Alligator mississippiensis: one gene and its partners. The protein of the gene in region 2 interacts with the protein of the main gene of each other region in a pairwise test. Links are inferred from orthologs where the notes say so. Each region holds a gene or a part of one and is shown on either strand. Other genes may lie near its edges.

What was found.
Region 1: the proteins of HSD17B14 (region 2) and CA8 interact in binary tests that used the Homo sapiens proteins (3 or more experiments, as listed by UniProt). The two-hybrid records come from large-scale screens. The link is inferred for Alligator mississippiensis from reciprocal best matches to the Homo sapiens genes HSD17B14 and CA8.
Region 3: the proteins of HSD17B14 (region 2) and MPG interact in binary tests that used the Homo sapiens proteins (3 or more experiments, as listed by UniProt). The two-hybrid records come from large-scale screens. The link is inferred for Alligator mississippiensis from reciprocal best matches to the Homo sapiens genes HSD17B14 and MPG.

The regions. Positions count from the first base shown.
Region 1 is NC_081826.1:68,392,270-68,396,088, forward strand, and holds the start of CA8 (carbonic anhydrase-related protein), read left to right. Parts: upstream 1-1,437; 5' UTR 1,438-1,567; coding exon 1,568-1,646; intron 1,647-2,514; coding exon 2,515-2,706; intron 2,707-3,819. UniProt on the Homo sapiens protein: Does not have a carbonic anhydrase catalytic activity.
Region 2 is NC_081828.1:39,480,202-39,483,801, reverse strand, and holds the start of HSD17B14 (17-beta-hydroxysteroid dehydrogenase 14), read left to right. Parts: upstream 1-1,283; 5' UTR 1,284-1,322; coding exon 1,323-1,410; intron 1,411-2,499; coding exon 2,500-2,544; intron 2,545-2,764; coding exon of another isoform or gene 2,765-2,801; coding exon 2,802-2,902; intron 2,903-3,138; coding exon 3,139-3,205; intron 3,206-3,600. UniProt on the Homo sapiens protein: Catalyzes the NAD(+)-dependent oxidation of L-fucose, yielding L-fucono-1,5-lactone, which rapidly converts spontaneously to L-fucone-1,4-lactone. Can also act on D-arabinose and L-galactose, with lower catalytic efficiency. Does not use NADPH.
Region 3 is NC_081836.1:21,549,763-21,553,581, forward strand, and holds the start of MPG (DNA-3-methyladenine glycosylase), read left to right. Parts: upstream 1-1,092; 5' UTR 1,093-1,238; intron 1,239-3,819. UniProt on the Homo sapiens protein: Hydrolysis of the deoxyribose N-glycosidic bond to excise 3-methyladenine, and 7-methylguanine from the damaged DNA polymer formed by alkylation lesions.

The DNA of each region.
Region 1 (3,819 bases), on a different chromosome or scaffold from region 2:
TAAAAACAGTCCAAAGGGCTGTGAAATAGGGGGAGAGACACCTTGAGTAGCTAATATACAGCAAAATTGCTGAAGAAAGCTTGATTAATGGAACATTAAAAGGAGAGTTGTTGATATCTGTAGACTGAAGAGCAATTAGCAAGAATCAGGTATAAAGAGCTATGAAGTCAGCCCTGCCTGAATAGAAATGCTATGGCTGCAGCCAGGCAGTTGGTTTTAAATTTGGGTGGCGCAGGAATCAAAGTGGGGTGCAACCATGCCACTGTACCCCTCTGGATCTGTCCCTGCTGGACTTTGCCTCCCCCTCCACATGGCTGCTAGAGGGAAGAGAAGTAATAGCCATCTTATACTGTGTCTTCATACTTCTATTTTGGGCAGAAAAATTATCTTCCTCACTTAAGATACATACCCACTGAAGATATACATGCTACAGGCAGTGTTTCCTGGTCCCAACCTGCTTTTAGCAATTTGACAGCAGTGGAGGGTGACCATATTAATCGCCACCACTCCCCCACTGCCAGATTTCCTGACTCTTGGGGAGCCCTGTGGGCTGGATGCCATGGCTCCATGGGCCAAATTTGGCTCATGGGCTAGAAGCACCCCGATCTACACTGTCTGTCTGTGCAGCCTACATGGTCTTTCTCCTCAGTGTTCCCCAAATACCAATTTCTGTAGTGCATAGCCACCCATAGCCTCTAGGCCAGCGGTTCTCAAACTGTGGGTCACGACCCGAAATAGGGTGACGTCAGCTGATGGGGTCACGGGGGTGGGGGGCTGTGGGTTGGGAGTGAGGGGCTATGCTGAGGAGACGGGGCCATCAAGGGGGTCATGCTGAGGCAAAGTTTGGGAAGCGCTGCTCTAGGCCAACGCTTCTCAACCTTTTTAGACTTGGAGGTGCCCCTTGTTCAACTCAATCTGCCCCTCAACGGATGTCAGCCTTTAGCCTCCACTCCTTTGGTGCCTGCAGAACAATGGTGGAGCAGTGGCTCCCAGGCGGTTGAGGTGGCAACATCAGTGGATGGGGGGCTGTGGGTTGGGAGTGAGGGGCCATGCTGAGGAAAGGAGGACCATCGGTGGGGTCATGCTGAGGAAGCAGGGCCAGCAATGGGGGTCATGCTGAGGACAAGTTTGGGAAGTGCTGTCCTCCTCTCCCAGCAGGTCTTTTCACTCTGCCCCTTTCTAGTTGAAGGCTCTGGGTTGCTCTTGCAGGGGTGTTGCCTGGTTCAGGACACAGGCAGGCAGCTGGGATAGCTTTCATTAGACCAGCTGAGTACTTGGAGAAAAAGTTCTCTGCGATGCCAGGTTGCTCTTGTGCTGCTGTCGGCGCACCTCCGGCCCGCCCGGGGTGTCGGGAGCCCCGGTCCCCGCCTGCGAGAGCCCGCCCGGGACTGCAGCCACACACCCCTCCTCGCTGCTACGTGTGTGTCACACACACACACACACACACACAGGCACGCGCCGGCTGAGCCTCCAGCGGCTGCCTGATCCGCACCGGACGCAGGGAGGGAGGGAGGCAGAGCGGCGCCCTTCCCGGCCACAGGCAGAGCCGAGAGCGGGGAGCCTGCCCATGGCTGACAAGAGCTTCATCGAGGAGTCCGAGCTATGCCCGCGGAAGGACGAGGCTCTGGAGTGGGGCTACGAGGAAGGTAAAGGCGGCGGCACTCGCCCCCGCCCGGGGCTTGCTCCGCAGCGCGGTCCCGCAGTGGCTCCGGCGCCCACCTGCAGGCTCCCGGGCGCGGGCAGCGGGCTGGCGCCGCTCCGCCGCCCGACCCGACCCGACCCGACCCGACCCCAGCTCCAGCTCCAGCTCCTCCTAAACGAGCCCCCACAGAAGGGAACCCGGCTTGTTTCAAGGTGCCCCCAGTGTCGCTGCGCCCAGGACCGGCCAGCCCAGCCCATGGCTTAGAGCACCAGAGCCACCCGACTTCCTAGTATGGCTGGAGGGATGGGTCTGCTTTGGGGAAGACCCCGCCGACAGCTTGCTAGATGCTTATTTCTCATCCGAGAACTTGATTTCTGGCTTGTCTTGCACAGGGGGAGGAATTTTCCTCACATTTTCTTTTGTGCAGAAGCAAACACTAGTGGTGGACTGTTGGGGCTGCAGTCGGTCTCCTAAATGGACCCTCCCATGTTTTGAAAACTTGTCTTTAGAAAGCCTGTGGGAGCAAGGGTGGCTTTAAAGAAATCCAATGTTTTAGGGTAGCGAAGCACTGGAGCAGGCCACCCTGAGAGGTTGTGGGATCTCCTTGGAGGTTTTTAAGACCCTGGTAGACAAAGCCTTGGCTAGGATGATGTACTTGGGGATGGTCTGGCTTTGAGCAGGAGGTTGAATAGATGACCTCTGGAGGTCCCTTCAAACCCTAATTTTCTATGAATCATTTGGGTTTGAGGCTGATACTGAGGGAAAGGACTCACGTGCCTGTCATTATTTGCCTTTGTCCTAATCCCCCTAAGATTGCATCTCCATCACGGCAAAGCTCTCTGAATTTATTTCCACATGATTACATGTTGCAGGAGTGGAGTGGGGACTGATCTTCCCTGATGCAAATGGGGAATACCAGTCTCCGATCAACCTGAATTCGAGAGAAGCCAATTATGACCCTTCTCTCCTGGAAGTGCACCTGACACCAAACTATGTTGTCTGCCGGGACTGCGAAGTCATTAACGATGGGCATTCGATTCAGATTGTCCTGAAGTCAAAATCAGGTATGCTCCAACAGGGTTTCCATCTTTCCTGCACAGAGCAAAACATCATTTTATGGTTTTTATTGGTGTATAAATGTGCAAGGTGTATTGTTCATGAAGCAATTGATCAGAGAAGCAACACTTCCTTCTGTGCAACTGGGAGGCTGATCATCGCTCATCCTGGCAGCCAATGGGAATTTTGCCCCTGACTTCAAAGAGAGCAGGTGGAAGTCTTGTGCATTGATTATAGCCCAAAACTGGACTTTCTTTTTGAGAACCTGTTAGAAATCAAATCATTCATCCTTAAGACAAGGACCTTTGTTGTCAGTTTGTTTCAGAGGATGATGCATTGCTGAAAATAGGCACTTCTGGCCTTGTGACCTAATTCCCTTCAGCTAACAAGTGCCTGTAGTTCAGAAATAGCCAAGAATATAACGAAGATGTTGTCCAACCTAAATTGTATCATGTAGTTTAGTTGATTAAGATCTGTGAACCTGACCTAAAGCCCATGTAAGTCAAGAGGAGTCTATATTAATTTAAATGAGTGCAGAATGAGACAATGTATGGATACTGTGGACTATGATTTGATCTAGCATAGATGATTTGGAATGAAACACTTACAGTGCTTCTGCTGAGAATATTGACAATGAACACATTTTCCAGATGCGAATGGATGTCAGTTGTAGTGGCATTGCACCACTATTTACCTCAGAATTAATTAGAAGGCAATAAAGGAAGCATTTCCAGGTGCAATTCTGGAAGAATTCCAGGGCCAGAACATTGACTCTGGATGAGTTGTCAGTTTTGCAGGACTTGAGGTTCAAGAAAGAAGGGGGAGAGAGGTAATTCTTTGTGCTTGTCCTATTAGTCAGGGGTCAATTCAGCTCATGTGTAATTCAAGGAGTCTTAGATTGGTTCTAACCTATGCTGGCTGATAAAGTGTGTTGTGGGGTCTGTTGTGTACCTGACAGTTGCCAGAGTACAAGATATTCCAGTAGTGCCTCCTCCTGGCACTATCAGGCTCCCTAGATGATATCTCCTGGTTTCCCATGCTGAGGAGATCTATAGGCACTCCTTGTAGGCAAAGAAAGATGACCAAAGGCACAACCTCTAGCCCTGATGCTTATGTTCTCC
Region 2 (3,600 bases):
GCCTCTGAGGAAGGCTTTTTAAAAACACCTAGACACCCATAGCAGAAAGGTGGGAGCAACCAGCAAAGCCCGGGAAACCCCCAGAGCAGAACACAGGCAGAGCTACACCTAGATCATTCCTGACCAGTGCCTGTCCAACCTCTCCTTGAGCCCCTCCAGTGATGGAGAGCATACAGCTCCTCTAGGCAGTCTAGTCCACAGCCTCACTGCTCTAGCAGTAAAGAGGTTTTTCCTGATATCCAATTGAAACCTAAGTCTCCTGCTCTCTGAGTCCAATTCCATGCCCCTATAAGAACCAGCCCAGCAATCAAGGGGTTCACCCCCCTCCCCATACCCCAGACCAATTGCATTCCTCCCACTCCCTTTGCTACAAGCAGGTCAGTGTAGCAACAAAATGCACCACCATGGGGTGAAAGCGCTAGTTTTGGTTCCAGCAGGAGTATTCATAGATTCATAGATGTTAGGGTCGGAAGGGACCTCAATAGATCATCGAGTCCAACCCCCTGCATAGGCAGGAAAGAGTGCTGGGTTTAGATGACCCCAGCTAGATGCCTATCTAACCTCCTCTTGAAGACCCCCAGGGTAGGGGAGAGCACCACCTCCCTTGGGAGCCCATTCCAGACTTTGGCCACTCTAACTGTGAAGTTCTTCCTAATGTCTAGTCTAAATCTGCTCTCTGCTAGCTTATGGCCATTATTTCTTGTAACCCCCAGGGGCGCCTTGGTGAGTAAAGCCTCACCAATTCCCTTCTGTGCCCCCATGATGAACTTGACACAACCCAATTGGCACAACCCAATCCCAATCCCCAAGCAGCCAACACCCAATGCCTTGAAGGGAGGCTTAAAAACACCTTGACACGTGCAGCAGAAAGGTGGGGAAGGGGGCAATCAGTAAAGCCCAGAAGCCTGGGAAACCCCATAGCAAAACACAGGCAACCAGCACCACTGCTGCCCCCCACTTCCTGGGAATTACATGTGTAAGGACCCCAGTGGTGCAGGGACAGATTAACCCTTTAGTGGACCCTAGGGAAACCAGCTGAAGATAAAATTTGTATATTCCTTTTTTTCACTCAATAATTATAATAGGTAAAATAAGCACAATTGGGTCTCTTCTTCACTTAGGGCCCTAGGCATGTACCTAGTTTGCCTATGTGTTAATCTGGCCCTGCAGTGGTGACCCTTGGTAGGGGATGCCCTATTCCAATCCCCCCACAATCAAGAGACTATATTTCCCAGGGTGCATCTGTCTCCCCTCTTCCTTTATAACTCCTGCCCAGGGGGAACACGTGATCCCGGATCAGCTGGGGCTGGGCTGGCCTGGCCATGGCTTCGGGGCTGCGCTACCCAGGCAAGGTTGCCCTTGTGACGGGAGGCACGAGGGGCATCGGGGAAGCCATCGTCAGGGAGTTTGGTAAGGGGGGACAGAGGTCTCTGTGTGCTGGGGCTGGGATGGGTAGAGCAGGAACTGGAGTGCAGTGGGTTTGGGGGTGAGTGGGACTGGGGGTTATTGGGTGTGGGGTGGCTGGGGGAGCTGGGATCAGGGTGCACTGGGTCTGAGGGGATGGGATGGGGCAGGGCAGGGACTGGGTACAGTGGGCTTGGGGATGAGTGGGACTGGGGGTATTAGGTGTGGGGGCTGAAGGGAGCTGAAGTCAGGGCTATTGCAGGGACTCTGTGGGAAAGCCGGGGAGGTGGGGGTCAAGGAGCAGGGAGTCCTTGGGGTGATGCGGAGGGGGGCTCTGGGCTGGGGCAGGGGCCTAGTGAGTTGTGGGGCTGGGATTGTGGGGGTCAAGGGGTGGCATGGGGGAGCAGGGAGGACGGGGCTGCCATGTCTGACCATGGAGGGGTTGGGGGCTGAGGCATGGGGTGGCAGATATAGTGGGGGATCTGCAAGGCTGGGATTGGGGCCTGGGTGGGGAGAGGACTTTGAGGCAGGGCCAAGGCTTGGACCCAGCTGGACTTTGTCTGTCCCGAGACTGTTCATCCAGCAGGTCACTGACTTGGAGGGGGGAAGAGGCCAGAGATATGAGTGTGGTGGGGGGGTAAAGCCTACAATGTACCCCACCTCTGTCCCCTGCCTTTGTTACCCAGCCCTGGGTTTGGCCTGCCCCTGTGCCCTCCACCACTAACAGCTCCTGTCAGGGGGGACCCTGATGCCCACCCCAGCTTTCTGTCATGGGGCTGAGCTGGTGGTGAAGAGGCTGTGTTAGCCCATCCCCCCCTCACCCCCCAGCACCAAATCTTGGCCCTTCCATTTCTATGAGACATGTATAGTGCAGGGAGCTGGTCAGTAGGGGGCAGCAGAGACCCATCCCTGCCTGGGGGGATGTGGAGGGTAGGCTAGGAGGAAGCTTGTAGCACTGAAGCAGGGGGGGGGGGGGGGATGTTGCCTCTGCCTGCACTGTAGGAGGAAGCGTGTAGCACCAGCCAATCTCACACTAACCTTGTCCTCTTACTTTGTCCCCTTGCAACTCCACAACTCCCCCCTCCACCCACACAGTCCATCAGGGAGCTCATGTGGTCTTCTGTGCCCCAAAAGCTGAAGGTGAACCTCCCCACCCCACCTCCTGTCCTTATCTCCCCTTCCCCGTGGGGCTCAGGTGGAGGGAGGCTTCCCCTTGCATCCCAGGGCTGGGGTGATTGGGACTGGGGACAGGGTCCTACACTTCTGGCCCCCAGATCTGTCCCTGCCTGGTATTTATGGATGCCCCCTTCCCCTTGGGATCTCCCATTCCCCCCAGTATCTAATGCTACCTCCTCCCCAGCTGTTTCTCCCCACCCCTCTTCCCTTTTCACTTGCAGAGGAGGTGGGGGAGGCACTGGAGCAGGCACTAAAGGAGTCGGGTGGCCCCGGGAAGCCGTTCTTCTGGCCCTGTGATGTCACCAGTGAACAGGATATCCAGGTGGGTTGGGCTTGGGGAGGAGTGGGGGAGAGGTCTTTAAAGAGAAAGCAATAGGGGTCTCAAGCCCCCCTGCTCATCATACAGCACCTCAAGATGGTAGGCACTTGAGGCTGGGTCTGATAAGGCCTGTCCCTCCCAATCTGCCCTGAACCCCAAAAATCCCTACTGTCCTCCCCTGATTCCCTATACCCCTGGCTCTCTCCCTCTGACCCCTGCTCCTTGCTCCCCTCTTCCAGGCCCTGGTATCCACAACCCTGCAGCGCTTTGGGCACCTGGACTGTCTTGTGAACAATGCCGGGCAGCGTGAGTCACCCTGATAGTGCCAGGGGATCTTTGGAGGGACCCTGACGGGGTAGGGGGGCGGATGCTGTATTAGGGAGCTCCTCCTGCTGGGAGGGGTGTTGCACATTAGCAGGATCCCCAGGGGCCAGGGGGGTATAGCAGAGTAGACGTGCTGCTCCTCCCAGGTAGTTGGCTTTAAACTTTTGGTGGAACAGGAATCAAAAGGGGGTGCAAGTCCACCAGGGCACCCCTTGGATCTGCCTCAAAGGAGTTATTGTAGGCTGGTAAAGACCAGAGCATTTAGTTGTGACTGTAGGAGTGGAGAGGAGGCTGTGGCAGCAGGGTCCCTGGGACACGTGGGTTCAAGAGGGCAGGGGCTGGGGCTGTGGCCAGGACTCAGGCAGTCATGGGCAGAT
Region 3 (3,819 bases), on a different chromosome or scaffold from region 2:
GCCTCCATATCTTATCTCATTCCTTGCTATAGCTGGTTCACAGCACACAGGCTTAACTGCTGCTTTTTCCAGAAAAATGGTTGACACAGTTTAGATGGTTACTTAGTATAAGCAAATGGCTGGCTTAGCTATCATTCTGTAGGTCTGCTAGGCCACAGGTCATGCCTTGTATTCAGCTGCAAATCCAGCACTCTCTAAGATTCAAATATTGTCACCCTAACAATAATATCCACCAAAGCCAGGAGTATCCGATTTGTGGCCTGGTGTACAAGTCCCTGGTGTATGCTGCAGATAGCAAATAATCCCCCACATCCTTAACTACCTTTCTTCAGTGGTTCAACCACTTCAGTGGTACAGTTAAAAATCTGTTTGTACTCAGAATTTGCCTAGCTTCTAGTCACTGGTAGTGAATACCTCTGCCTGACAGATCAAGTAGTCTAATGCTATTAGAAATCTTTCCACGGAGGTCCTTGTAGTCTGTGGTCAAGTCACCCCTTATCCTTCTCTAAAGAATTTGATTATAAGGCAGGTTTTCCAGACCTCAATTAGTTCCTGCAGCTGCTTTCTACAGCAGCAACAGAAGTTTAGTGCATGAGTGACTGGTGCCTCCTGAACCTGGGGGGGCACCCGCAGAAGCTGCCAACAGCTCGGGGGCACCAGCCCCGCCAAGAGTTGGTGCTGGCCCTCAGGCAGGGCACCTGTGGGGGGGAGGGCATGTGCACCCTTGTGCACCCTCTACCAGTCACCTAGGGCTTAGTGAGTGTGATGCACTCCAGGCTTTGCTCCGAGGTTCTTTCTTTCATAGTGTACATGTTACTGAAATGCCTGGCTGCTATCCCTTCTGCCGACATCCTTCCCGTGCCAATAAACACGGGCAGGAAACAGCAGCAACCGTCAACTAAGCAGAAAGCTGGCGCTGAAGCCTCACCTCAAGAACAAGCCGGGACAGGAGGGGGAACGCTCTGCCCAGGCCCGGGGCGAGCTCCTCAGCCCGGCGCTGCAGGCACACCCGGCCTGGCCTTGCCGCGACAGCGGCGGCTCCAGGAGCATAAACTAGGGCCCGGCTGGCGCAAGTGGCGAAAGAGACGGGGAGGAGTTAGACAAGGCTCCGAGCTGACGCTCCGCCGGAAGGCGGCCTGCGGCGCGCTCCTAGCAGGAGCTGCGCAGGCGCAGCGTCGGGTGGGTGTGGCTCCCGGCTCAGCGCCGAGCTCCCGCCGAGGCGACTGGCTCAGAGGCAGGTGAGCTGGGAGCGGTTGTGGGTGCCGCGCTCGCGTTTCTCAGCGGTCCGGGGGCTGCTGGCTGAGGGGCCGGCTGCTCTGCTGCTCACTCCTGCCCTGCTGCTTTTAGGCTGCTTGGCGGCTTCCTCGTGCAGCCTAGGCTAGGCCGGCTTTGGAGGTGCTTACTGCCAGCAGCTAGAGCATTTAATGGGCCTTGTGAGAGCCTGCTCTGTGGCAGCAGGATGTCTCCTGGACTGAAGCCTGGCACTGCATCTGGGCACCGCTGCCATGTCTGTGAAGTGTGTTAGCATCTGGAGTCTTGGCTTGGTATGACACTGGCCCTGTCGCTTCAAGAACAGCTGTAGGCACCCACTGTGGTTTGCTTGCTTGGCTTTGGAGGTGCGCAGCTGTGTTTGGTTTGGACATCTGTATGGGCGGAGAACCCGAGTTTTTGCTTCTGGTGCTCAGCTACAAGTCTGGGAAGCTTTGATGTATACAGGTCTTTAATTTGCTTTTCATCAGTCCTTCTGTGAGGCTTCAGCCTTGGATTTGCATGCTATTGTAATAAAAAAAAATAAACCAATTGCAAATTCCAGTTACTATCAGCAGTAGGCCTCTGTTCTGCTGTGAGTATTTCCCATGTTTCTGGGCTTTGCTGGTTGCTCCCTGCTATGTGTGTCAAAGTGTTTTTAAGCTTCCCTCAGAGGCATGGGGTTTTGGCTGCAGCCAAGGGATTTTGACTAGGGTGTGCCAGTGCTTTTTCTAGGACTGAAAGCCAGAGGTACCTGGCTAGAGCATCCTGCCCCTCCACTCTGGGTCAAACCAGTGCTGTATTTGGGGTCAGGAAGGAATTTTACCCCATGGCCAGATTGGTATGGACTGTGGGTTTTTTAATCTCTCTTTGTGTGCTGTGTGCCATGTGTGGGGGGGGGAGGTCCCTACACCCACCCCACAAACCTCACACACACCTACACCTTGTCCACCCAAGTTCCACACTCCGGCCACCCTGCTACCAGTGCAAACCCCAGGCTCCGGACTTCCACCAGTCCCACACTCCTGGCCCAGCTGCAGCTTCCCTACTTCCTGCTTGGAGTGAGCACTGCAGCAGAGACAGAAGGAGGAGCTGCTGGAGGCTGGGGAAGGTGAGGAGGTCCCCTGGTGGTGGCAGCAGTGGGCCTGTCTGGAAGCTGTGCATGCTGGCTGGGGCCCTCCCACATGGGAGGGTGGGAGTGAAGCATATGTGCCTGGCGGGGTACAATTAATTGGTAGGTGCCTGTAAGCAGGACGAAATTGCCTGGTGGGCCATACTTGGCCCATGGGCTGTATTTTGTCTGCTCCTGTTTTAAGTCAACAGCTTGTTTATTGTAGTCAACAAGTCTTGTTTCACATGTGACAATAGGTGGTTGATTTTGGAGAGCACAGCATTTTTTGTCTCTTGTGAAATTAAGGCAGATGTGGAATCCTGAGGATCCTCTGTGACACATGGAATACCCTGGAACAGCACTGTGGTGTAGATCTTCTGTTCAGGTGTGTTTTCTTCACAATTGACAAACCCAGTAGTACAGGTATCTGCAAGTGCTCAACAGGCTGAAATTTTATTCAGATCAGCATAAATATTTGTGTCGGTTGAAGGTATGCCCTGCTCATTTGACTTTTTTCTGGATGGCTTGAGTTTCTGATACACATTTAATGTGATCCTTGTGCTTACAATGATTGTAGTTAGCATGGCAGAAACAGCCTCTGTTTTGTCTGTGGAGTCCACCATAGCTATAGGAGCTTCTGAAGGATGGAGAATTAATTCTTCAGTGAGCTGGTGGTGACTTTGGAAAACTCCTTTTGGACTGTACTTAGTGAGCCCGATGTCATGTTTGCAGCAACATTTATATCTCCTTTGAATGGAGAGATGCAGCTTCATGAGCAAGTGCTACTTCTTGAACAGCAGTAATTGTTAAGTTTTGCTGTTGGTGTACAGAGATGTGGGTTTTCTGGAAAAAATTTCCAATGCCCTAAATAGAGCATGGTCTGATTTAGCATGTTTATTTGACTTGTATTTAGTAAACAGAACTAAAAATGTTAATTTTATTTCCCAATAACCACAAGTATTTGAACTGAAATATTTGATTAGGAAAAAAATTAAATACAGCACACTTAGTATGGTTTAAATGTTATATTCAAACAAATTTTAAAGCTTTATGTGGGAAGAAATTATTTTTATTGAAATACTTGTAAAAATGTAAAGAGAATACACAATAGCGTGTGCTTCTCTTACCTTGCTTGTATCGATTTAAGAAAAAAACAAAGGCACTGAAAACTGTTGATACACTCATTTTAGCACACCTAAAGAACTGTGCACGATATGCCGTGGTTATCCACTCATCTACTTCAACAGAGTTAAACTCTCTTCCACAGAGGTCATCACGGCACCTCCAGTTTCACTGTCACTATCTGCAGAATCACTTGCACTACTTATTAGTTCCATTTCAGAATCAGTTGGAAGCAAATCTGATTCAGAACGACTTGAACCACGTTCTCTATTGCTAAAGGATGGTTTTACCAAGGAGTCTGTCCGCAAGGGCAATTTATCATCATGCTGCATCTTCTT